Linked DNA regions of Schizosaccharomyces pombe. The protein of the gene in region 1 binds, or shares a complex with, the protein of each later gene. Each region holds a gene or a part of one and is shown on either strand. Other genes may lie near its edges. The genes, in order: prw1 and pst2. A codon is read from its position in the direction of its gene.

What was found.
Region 2: the proteins of prw1 (region 1) and pst2 are in contact, whole or in part, in a cryo-EM structure (PDB 8I02), measured with the Schizosaccharomyces pombe proteins. Residues at the interface, in NP_594864.1 of Schizosaccharomyces pombe: Glu23 (codon at 2,148), Lys24 (codon at 2,145), Cys25 (codon at 2,142), Asn27 (codon at 2,136), Glu29 (codon at 2,130), Tyr30 (codon at 2,057), Ile32 (codon at 2,051), Trp33 (codon at 2,048), Lys34 (codon at 2,045), Lys35 (codon at 2,042), Asn36 (codon at 2,039), Pro38 (codon at 2,033), Phe39 (codon at 2,030), Leu40 (codon at 2,027), Tyr41 (codon at 2,024), Asp42 (codon at 2,021), Leu43 (codon at 2,018), Ile44 (codon at 2,015), Ile45 (codon at 2,012), Thr46 (codon at 2,009), Arg47 (codon at 2,006), Ala48 (codon at 2,003), Leu49 (codon at 2,000), Glu50 (codon at 1,997), Pro96 (codon at 1,782), Leu98 (codon at 1,776), Leu118 (codon at 1,716), Arg119 (codon at 1,713), Val120 (codon at 1,710), Asn293 (codon at 1,191); in NP_593646.1 of Schizosaccharomyces pombe: Phe889 (codon at 4,908), Arg892 (codon at 4,917), Leu893 (codon at 4,920), Glu896 (codon at 4,929), Lys897 (codon at 4,932), Tyr958 (codon at 5,115), Asn960 (codon at 5,121), Tyr961 (codon at 5,124), Arg962 (codon at 5,127), Cys963 (codon at 5,130), Pro964 (codon at 5,133), Phe965 (codon at 5,136), Leu966 (codon at 5,139), Cys967 (codon at 5,142), Arg968 (codon at 5,145), Asn969 (codon at 5,148), Ile970 (codon at 5,151), Glu971 (codon at 5,154), Lys972 (codon at 5,157), Leu979 (codon at 5,178), Leu983 (codon at 5,190), Lys986 (codon at 5,199), Leu987 (codon at 5,202), Glu992 (codon at 5,217), Leu997 (codon at 5,232), Phe1006 (codon at 5,259), Lys1007 (codon at 5,262), Leu1008 (codon at 5,265), Tyr1010 (codon at 5,271), Leu1011 (codon at 5,274).

Annotation. Positions count from the first base shown.
Region 1 is NC_003424.3:5,109,661-5,113,856, forward strand, and holds prw1 (histone chaperone, Clr6 and Rpd3L complex subunit Prw1), read right to left. Parts: upstream 2,223-4,196; 5' UTR 2,215-2,222; coding exon 2,130-2,214; exon of another isoform or gene 2,060-2,129; coding exon 1,954-2,059; exon of another isoform or gene 1,877-1,953; coding exon 772-1,876; 3' UTR 634-771; downstream 1-633. Other genes in the region: Ca(2+)/Mn(2+)-transporting P-type ATPase P5 type Cta5, read left to right, coding at 1-408, 455-633; fun14 (integral mitochondrial outer membrane (MOM) protein), read left to right, coding at 3,482-3,709, 3,821-4,036. UniProt on the Schizosaccharomyces pombe protein: Has a role in chromatin assembly and chromosome segregation. Involved in the deacetylation of histones.
Region 2 is NC_003424.3:2,158,453-2,164,849, forward strand, and holds pst2 (Clr6 histone deacetylase complex subunit Pst2), read left to right. Parts: upstream 1-2,033; 5' UTR 2,034-2,119; coding exon 2,120-2,150; exon of another isoform or gene 2,151-2,196; coding exon 2,197-2,377; exon of another isoform or gene 2,378-2,455; coding exon 2,456-5,471; 3' UTR 5,472-5,626; downstream 5,627-6,397. Other genes in the region: ER zinc importer, CDF family, Zhf1, read left to right, coding at 360-1,523; Polo kinase Plo1, read left to right, coding at 5,788-6,397. UniProt on the Schizosaccharomyces pombe protein: Has a role in chromatin assembly and chromosome segregation. Involved in the deacetylation of histones.

The DNA.
Region 1 (4,196 bases):
TAGTCCAGTTTTCTGGTGTCTTCTTTCTCTATTTAAAAAATTATAACTTTAACGATAACCAATTTTTGTTTATGGATCTGTTAATCATATTTCCACTGTCAGCAGCTATGAGTTACTTCGACCCTGCTCAAAATTTGACAAGCAATCGCCCTAATTCAACATTGTTTGGCAAAGGAAGAGTAAAGGATTTAGGAATTCAATCAGTATTAATATGGCTATCCCATGGCTTGCTGACTTTAATACTACACGAGTTGAACTGGGTTGAATTACCTGAATGGCAACTTGAAAAATCAAATACGAAAAACGTGCTAGTGACTAGCATATTTCTTTTAAGTTCTTTACAATATTTAGGAATTTGTATTGGAATAAACCAAAGTTCCGAGTTTTTGTCACCTATTTGGAAAAAAAGTAAGTGAAAATCCTGTCTTTTGTTTATTAACATCTTATGATATAGAAACTTATGTATGTTTGTGTACTACCATTGGCCTTTGCAATATCTATCTATGTTTTGCAAATGAAAATCACATTATCTCTAGGTGTTTGCAAATCACACGTCTACCGACACTGTATCGTTTCATAATACTTTTTATGGGAGTTATCTCGTGCTGCCTTACGAGTATTCTGAACATGTAAAAAAAACAAAATTAAATATATATATGTTAATCAAAAACTTGCTTTTATGTGCAATTAGGGTAGAAAAAAAAAGGAGTTAAAGAGAGAAACAGGTTTGGGACATTAAGTAAAATATCAATGAATGTTGTATACGACCGGTTAACTTAAATATGCCGTAGCATCTTCCTCTAATTGTTCATTACCCCAAATTGAGCGAGAAGGTGTCCAAATTTGAAGAATATTATCTTCAGCAGCGGTTGCCATTGTCCAATTATAATTAGGACACCAATCCATGTCAATTGTACAAGAAGTATGGCCTCCGTGCATAAAAAGAAGCTCCGGAGGACCGTCTTGAGCTTCCTCAGCAGGCTGATCTTCCCCGATTCTTGAAAGATCCCAAACTAAGGTCCTTCTATCGGCTGAGGTAGAAGCAAGAATAGGCTCTTCATGAGGAGAAAAGCTAATTTTTGTTACAATGTCTTCATGTCCTTCTAATGTATGTAAGCGTTGATTAAGGTTCCGTAAATCCCAAAGTGCAATGGTTTTGTCAGTCGAACAAGTAGCCAAAATAAAGTCGTTATGAGGGTTGAAAGCAACAGAATGAATAGGACCGCTATGGGCATGCACACTTCGAGCTGGCTTTGTGGAAGCATCAGGGCGACGAATATCATGAACATGAAGGTACTGATCATAGGAAACTGAAGCAAGAAGATCCTGGTGCTTATAATGAAAGCGTACATCACTGACCTGTTTTTCATGGCTGCTTATATGCACTTTCAAAACTGACGCTGAATCTGACTCGTTGTAAGCATTCAAATCCCAACAAGAAAGAGTAGCGTCTTGCGATCCAGAAACCAAAGTACCCTTAGAAAGAAAATTCCAACAAACACTAGTACAGGGCTGGGTATGTTTGGTCAATCTATATTTGGGCTTAAGAGGAGACTCACTAGCCGAGCTATAAGATTCGAAGGATTCCTTGTCAAAAACCAACACATCATTATGATAGTTACCCACCGTAGCTACACAAGAATCGTCTTGTGGCATAAGCTTCGCACTACAAACAGACTCAGGATGAGAATAAAGATTTGAGATATTAACACGTAGAGAAGACTCGTCACCCGCAGATGCTCCCTCCATTGTAGTAGGAGGAACAGTCTGATTTAAATAGGGTAATTGAATAGACGCAACAGCTAGTAAGTATTTGCCAACATCAGCACGAACTCCCAGAAACATTTTCTGCTCAGTATATCCATGTTCTGCAAAACTATAACAAAAAATAATGGTAAGTTTTTTGAGTCACATAAACAAGATTAAACATTATGATTCAAATGATTGACTTACATTTGCTGCTCTGGATACCATTGTAGTGACATACAAGGCCATTCCAAAGCTCTAGTAATTATTAAATCGTAAAGGAACGGTGAGTTCTTTTTCCAAATTTTATACTCTGTTTCAGATTAGAAACACATTTTACATTGATCAACTAGAAATTGTATGTTAAAACGTTGCAGACATACCTTCATTGATGCATTTTTCTTGATTTATTCCCTCCTCCGAAGCCTGCGCTTGCTTGGAAGGATGGGGAACAGCTGATACAGCCATTATGTTCTAGTTAAAATGATTGAATCTGCTTTTTGGTGGATGGTGAGTAGACGCGTGCAGCGCTAATGTGCACACTAAGTGTTCTTAAATAGGTGCAGGTTGGTTTATAAATTAAGATTGTTTAGGTTTTATATAATCACAGCCGTATAGATGTTTAAATGGGAAAAAACAATAGAAACTTAATCTTGTCTCATGCTTCGGCTAGCGTCTTTTCATCTTCTCTCTCGACCTGAGATGCGTTTCCACAGTGCTAGAAATTGCAACTTTTAAAGAGACTGTTAATTGTAAAAAGTTGAATTACTAAAAATGATTATGTTTGCTGAACATATGTATACAGAAGTGAGATATAATTTGGGTAGCACAAGCTTCCCGATGGACTGCTATAAGACACAAGATGGAAAGATAAATTTATAGAGCTGAGAGTTAAGAATCTTTAATTTAGATGAGTTTTTTTTTACTTTGCTTTCATGCTAATTTCATCTACTCTAACTTCTGCATGAATCAGTGCGTCAAGAACAGAAACACTTTGAAGCTTTTTTTTAGTCACACAAGGCAACAACCGCTTGAGAAGCAGGATTATTAAAATTGGTAAAAAAATTATGTTCCTCTTAGTTTTAAGGTACATTCAACTTGTGTATCGCCAATAGCAAAACGCAGCCAAAATTTCTGAAGTTCTCCTTTTTTTGAATATTCAATTGAGCGTGAATAAAAAGTATATGATTTAAAATAATGATCTCCCACCTGTTCTGCAATCCTTGGAAAATGCATCAAGTCATACTGAAAACCAAACGAGCAAGAAGCCGAATTCAAGATGCCCTCGTATTCTTGCGTACCCTTAGTAAAAGAAATGAGAAATATATTTAATTTAATTGTTAAAATGAAGACAATCCCGTTTCAATATGTATGCCGTTCTTTACATCAAGAAAAAAGAACTTCGAAGCAAGTCATACCAAACTAAAAGATCGTTGATCTTAAAAAGGAACATTATTAATTTTAGAAACGATGATGAAGAAGCACAAAATTACCTTTCACTTAAATACTTCGTACACAATACATTTGTTTACATCTTTCTCTTATAATAAATCTACCTTAAGACACACACTTTCTCAGTAAGCTGATTAAGAAAAAGCAACGAAGATACTTTATCCATCTTTTATTTACATCTTCGAGACATGACGTTTCGTAATAATTCCCACCTTTAGACTAAACCGTTTCCACCAAATTTGTACCTTTTCTATTATTTTTCTTTATTTTTTACTCTCACATAATGAATTGTTTACTTCTAGGAAGAGGATTCTTGCACAGGTTTCACCCATTTCGCCCAGTCTTGTGTGAAGATTCGGCAAGTGCTGCAACTACTATCACCTCTCAATTTAAGCTGAATTACCGTCAAATCTTTATTGGAAGCTCTCTTGGTTTAGCAGCCGGATTTGCTTTAGGAAAATTGGGCCGTTTATTCATCGTTGCCTGCTCCGCCGTTTTCGCTACCATTGCTGTAAGTGCTTAAGTTTGATTCTTTATTTATATTTAGAGGTTTTAAAAACCTTGTGTTTCGCACTGAAAATCGTATTTATCTTTCATAATACTAACACAATACGTTTATTAGTATATTAACAGTAAAGGTCTGATCCGAATTAATTGGCCCCAGCTGCAGCAACAAGTTATAGGTCCTACGGAGCAGTATACTGGATTTCATTTCCCAAGTTCAGGTAGGTTTAATACTCAATCAACATTTCCTACCATTCGTAATTGGATCTGTACAAACCCCAATTTCAAGCTGAGCTTCTTTTCAGCTATGTATGTTGGATTTGTGTCATCATAAAAGTGGCTGAATTTCACCACAACACATTTCGATTTTGATACATTGTTCAGCCCTCGCACTCCTCTCAATTCCTATGATTCCTTTGAACCCCAACGTTCGTTCTATACTACCAATAGTGAAACATTTTGCTCACGCTCCTGTTCAGAAGCTTACTTTTCAT
Region 2 (6,397 bases), 3.0 Mb from region 1:
AACGTGTGATTTTATTTTTTCTTCACCGCTTACTTCTCAAAAGCCTCCTTTTTAATTTACTATCAAAAACGGCAGTTTTGGCAGTTTTTTGAAGGTTTATTGGTTTAATTAATTTATTCTGTAAAAACAAGGAAAGCAAAATTACAGATATTTGATTCTTTAGATTTTCTTAAACCCTCTCGCATCTTCGTCTTATTTTGGCTTTTTTTTTTGTTAAATATAGCAAGTTTGCGCCTCTTTTATTTAAATTCATTTTTAAAAAGCCACCTTTCATTCTAAATTTACCTTATTCCTTTTTCTCCCTGTGAAATTCAACCCTTACCATTTTTTTGAAATTGGTGACTTTTCGTTTTCAAACTATGTTCGACCTCGCAAGACAAACTCGGATTATCCTTTTATTAGGTATTGATGTTACTTTTTTCTTCATCGAAATTATTACTGGTTATGCGATCGATTCACTTGCCCTAATTGCTGATTCATTTCATATGTTAAATGACATTGTCAGTTTACTGGTCGCTCTCTGGGCTACTCGTCTAGCACATTCAACATCTCACGAACCAAAATACACATATGGCTGGCAACGTGCAGAGATTTTAGGTGCTTTGTCGAACGGTGTATTTCTCATTGCCCTTTGCATGTTCATTTTTATGGAAGCCATAGAGCGCTTCATTGAGCCTCCTTCTGTCAGCAATCCCACCCTTATGTTCTTTGTTGGTTCTTTAGGTCTGCTAAGCAATTTCGTTGGTATCTTTTTATTTCATGACCATGGTCATGATCATCCTCACACCCATACCGCTCAAAATTACGATTTTCCTGAAGAAGATGATATTGAATCCGTTTTACCTTCGACTATCGTTCATCGTTGTAATACCAGTCAACAAGAAGTCAGCCATACACACACTCAAGTCGCAGACTCTGCTACCGAATCTTCTCCTTTATTGAGTTACACTGGTAATCATAATGGTGCTGGTACTTCAAAGCCAGTCAACAACCATGGCAGTATTGAACAAGATGCACCAAAACAAACGAAGAAACGAAATTTGAATATGCATGGTGTCTTTCTTCATGTCTTGGGTGATGCTCTCGGTAATATTGGTGTTATTAGTGCTGCTTTATTCATCAAGTATACTGACTATTCTTGGCGTTTCCTCTTTGACCCATGCATTAGTATCCTTCTTACTTTCATTATTCTTTTTAGCGCAATTCCTCTCTGTAAATCCGCTGCTCTCATCTTATTACAAGTTGCTCCTCAAAGCATCAAACTGGATGATGTTTCCAACCTAATTAATCATCTAGACGGCGTGGAATCTGTTCATGAACTCCACATCTGGCAGCTTTCGGACGTTAAATTAATTGCCACTGTTCATGTCTGCGTTACACTTCCTGATGATAAGGGAGAGTCTTATACAAAGCTTACTACGGATATCCGTAATGTCCTTCAATCTTTTGGTATATATGATGTTACCATTCAACCAGAATTCGCCAATCATCCGCTTTTATGTGACCAAGGTTCCTCGTCTTAGTTTGCGAACATTATAAATTTAACGTGGTTAATCTATTGTGTCACATCTTTTGATTTATTCTTGAGGTAAAATTTTATATTGAATGTTTACTTTGTTTCATTTTTAAAGCGTAATTTCTTCTGCCATTCCTGTTCGTATTTAAAAACTTTATTTCACCATCTTGGTTGTTTGTTTTGCGAATGCACTTAAGTAAAGTAGTCGACAACTTAACTTTGAAAGTAGATAGTTTTCGATTTCTTATTCTTGATGAAGACGATGCATAGTTTCGGTTTTATTAAATCTCTATTATTCTTAGAAAATAATGTTTAGATGTAGTGTTTAATTATTTAAAAGGAATATTTTTTAACAATTATATTGGGTTTGATTCTTCTCGTTAGTATTTTTTCTAAAGTATTCGTTGTAAGTGTAAAACACCATCCAATGTGGTATTTGTGTTCATGTCTTGATAAATCATTTGAACTTTGGCTATCAGCGTCAGTTCATGTAATGCGTTGACGAGTTTGTGCGCTTAGTTGCATTTGCCGTTTCCCAAATCATCACCTCCAAAATAAACGAGATCGTATTCCTAGTCATTTGATGGTTAAAGATCAAAATACATGGAACAAACACTAGCGATATTAAAAAATGGTACGTATCAATTTAATACATAACTCATTTTAACCAATGTTGTTAGACAACTCAACGTTAGTGGCCGAGATGCAGAATCAATTAGTCCATGATTTTTCCCCTAATGGTACCGCACTCCCCGAGCTTGATATAAAGGCATTCGTTCAAAAGTTGGGTCAAAGACTGTGTCATCGTCCTTATGTTTATAGCGCTTTCATGGATGTTGTGAAGGCTTTACACAATGAAATGTATATATGGCTTATTTACTGAGTTGCTTTGAGATAGCTCTTTTTTTATTACTATTCACTTATTAACATGAACATTAGTGTCGATTTTCCCGGGTTTATTGAAAGAATATCTGTAATCTTAAGAGATTACCCAGATCTTTTAGAATATTTGAACATCTTTTTGCCCTCGTCTTATAAATACCTTTTATCGAATAGCGGTGCCAACTTCACATTGCAATTTACCACCCCATCTGGTCCAGTTTCTACACCGTCTACTTATGTAGCTACTTACAACGACTTACCTTGTACCTATCATAGAGCTATAGGATTTGTTTCACGAGTTCGACGAGCATTATTGAGCAATCCCGAACAGTTCTTTAAATTACAGGATAGTCTTCGTAAGTTTAAAAACTCTGAGTGTTCGCTTTCTGAGCTTCAGACTATTGTAACGTCTTTGCTAGCGGAGCATCCATCTTTAGCCCACGAGTTTCACAACTTTTTACCAAGCTCCATCTTTTTTGGGAGTAAACCTCCTCTAGGATCGTTTCCATTAAGAGGAATTCAGAGTTCCCAATTTACGTTGAGTAATATTTCTGATTTGCTTAGTCAATCAAGGCCGGACAACCTCTCACCATTTTCACATTTATCAAATGAGAGCAGTGACTTTTTCAAAAATGTGAAAAATGTACTTACCGATGTAGAAACTTACCACGAATTTTTAAAACTCCTGAATTTGTACGTTCAAGGGATAATTGATAGAAATATTCTGGTGAGTCGTGGGTTTGGGTTTCTTAAATCGAATTCGGGACTTTGGAGAAGCTTTTTAAGCCTTACTAGTTTGAGTCCGGAAGAGTTTTTATCTGTATACAATTCCGCTTGCTCAGACTTCCCGGAATGTGGCCCGAGTTACCGATTGCTTCCTGTCGAAGAACGCAATATTTCTTGCAGCGGTAGAGATGATTTTGCATGGGGTATACTTAATGATGACTGGGTCAGTCATCCAACTTGGGCATCTGAAGAAAGCGGTTTCATTGTTCAGAGGAAAACGCCTTATGAAGAGGCAATGACAAAGTTGGAAGAGGAACGTTATGAATTTGATCGGCATATTGAAGCTACTTCCTGGACAATCAAGTCTCTTAAAAAAATTCAGAACCGTATAAATGAATTGCCGGAAGAGGAAAGAGAAACATATACTCTCGAGGAAGGGCTAGGTTTACCATCAAAAAGTATATACAAGAAAACTATTAAGCTTGTTTATACCAGTGAGCATGCAGAGGAAATGTTTAAGGCCTTGGAAAGAATGCCTTGCCTCACATTACCATTGGTAATCAGCAGATTAGAAGAAAAAAACGAAGAGTGGAAGTCTGTTAAAAGAAGTCTTCAACCTGGATGGCGAAGTATTGAGTTTAAAAATTACGATAAGAGCTTAGATTCACAATGCGTTTATTTTAAGGCAAGAGATAAGAAGAATGTATCTTCAAAGTTTCTCTTAGCAGAAGCCGACATTCTACGATCGCAAGCGAAGCTCCATTTTCCTTTGCGAAGTAGATCAGCTTTCGAATTTTCTTTTGTATATGACAACGAAATAGTACTTTTTGATACTTGTTATATGGTATGCACATACATTGTATGTAACTCTCCCTCTGGTTTAAAGAAAGTTGAGCATTTTTTCAAGAATATATTGCCTTTACATTTTGGTCTTGAAAAGGATAAATTTTCGATATTCCTGGATCAAGTTTTTCGTGGTCCTGATTACGATGTGAATGCCCCGAATATAGTTGGTAACAAGCCTGTACGTCGGAAAAGATCTAATTCTATAACCCAGTTGACGGAATTTGTAAAACAACCTAAAATCAATGGTCAACGCGAAAGTCGTTCAGCTGCAGCTGCTCGCAAAAAAGAAGAATCCGGTAACAAATCACAATCTAACTCTCAAAACTCTTTAAGTGATGAATCTGGAAACGTAACGCCGGTTTCTAAGAAACAGCTTTCACAACCTGCTGCAGCCATTAAAGCCAGTCTCAAATATCCAAGTCATCCAGATAGTCTTTTGGAACATCAAGATCATGCTGGTGATACGGAGAATGAAATGCATGACGACGTCGATAAAGAACAGTTTGGATATTCTTCTATGTACGTATTTTTTAGACTTTTTAACTTATTATACGAAAGGCTTTATGAGCTTCAGCGTTTGGAGGATCAAGTGTCCATTATCCAACAGCGTATAATACCAAACCCAGTATCTCAAAAACAAAAGATTTGGCGCGATAGGTGGAATGATCTTTCAGATGTCCCTGATGAAAAAACTCATTACGAAAATACTTATGTGATGATTCTTCGATTAATATATGGGATAGTTGATCAAAGTGCCTTCGAGGACTATCTGCGGTTTTATTATGGCAATAAAGCCTATAAAATATATACTATTGATAAACTCGTTTGGTCTGCTGCTAAACAAGTCCACCACATCGTTTCCGATGGAAAATACAAATTCGTTACTAGTTTAGTCGAACAAAATAGTTCTGCTTCGCCTAAGAAGAATTATGATGACTTTCTTTATCGCTTGGAAATTGAAAAGCTTTTGAATCCTGATGAAATTTTGTTTCGATTTTGTTGGATAAACAAATTTAAATCATTTGGAATCAAAATAATGAAGCGAGCGAATCTTATTGTGGATCAAAGTTTGGATACACAGAGACGAGTTTGGAAAAAATATGTTCAAAATTATCGTATACAAAAACTTACTGAAGAAATATCTTATAAAAATTATCGTTGTCCCTTTCTTTGCAGAAATATAGAGAAAGAAAGAACAGTTGAGCAATTGGTTTCACGCCTTCAAACAAAGTTATTAAGATCTGCAGAATTGGTTTCCGGATTGCAAGCAAAATTATGTTTAGACTCGTTTAAATTGCTCTACTTACCACGCACAGAAGATTCTTACATAGATGCATCTTACCTGCGCCTTAGAGATACCGACTTCCTTGATTGCCAGAATAAAAGAAAACAGCGTTGGAGAAATCGATGGGAATCGTTATTAAAATCGGTTAGGGGAACTTCTGACAACACGGCAGAGGTGAATTTTGATGCTGACATTAATGCACTATTTATCCCATAATGATTTTAATGCAGTCGACCTACCTATTGATCATATTTACTTAAATACAATTTGACTTTAATAGTTTTATATTACTTTGTTAACATAACTTATCTTTCTAGGTATTTTATAATTTCAAGGATTTATGTATAGTACGAATTTACTGAAATTTTTGCACATAAGCTTTGTATTAAATTTTCTAAAGCCGTACTTCTGTAATTACTACATAAAATATTACAATGCACAGATTTTTATTTACAAACAAGCGGTTGTCGTAGCAACCACTTTGTTTACCCTCAAAAGTTACCACCTGCGTTTTGTTAGAAACAAATACCAAATGGCGAGTGTTGCAATTAAAGAGCCCAAAACTGCTATAACCCCGAAGAAGAAGTCCAAAGCCTCTCGTCTTTGCTTTACTCCGCCAACTAATCTTCATAATAATAAAAAAAATATATTCTACACTCGCTACGATTGCATTGGTGAAGGCGGCTTTGCGAGATGTTTTCGAGTCAAAGATAATTATGGAAATATTTACGCTGCTAAAGTTATTGCTAAAAGGTCACTACAAAATGATAAAACAAAGCTGAAGCTCTTTGGAGAAATAAAGGTGCACCAATCCATGAGTCATCCAAACATCGTAGGATTTATAGATTGTTTTGAAGATTCGACGAATATTTACTTAATTTTGGAGCTTTGTGAACATAAATCTTTAATGGAACTTTTACGTAAGCGAAAACAATTAACTGAGCCAGAGGTTCGGTATTTAATGATGCAAATTTTGGGAGCTTTGAAATATATGCATAAAAAGAGAGTCATTCATAGAGATTTAAAGCTTGGAAATATTATGCTTGATGAGAGTAACAATGTAAAAATTGGTGATTTTGGGCTTGCCGCGCTTTTAATGGATGACGAAGAACGTAAAATGACTATCTGTGGTACACCGAACT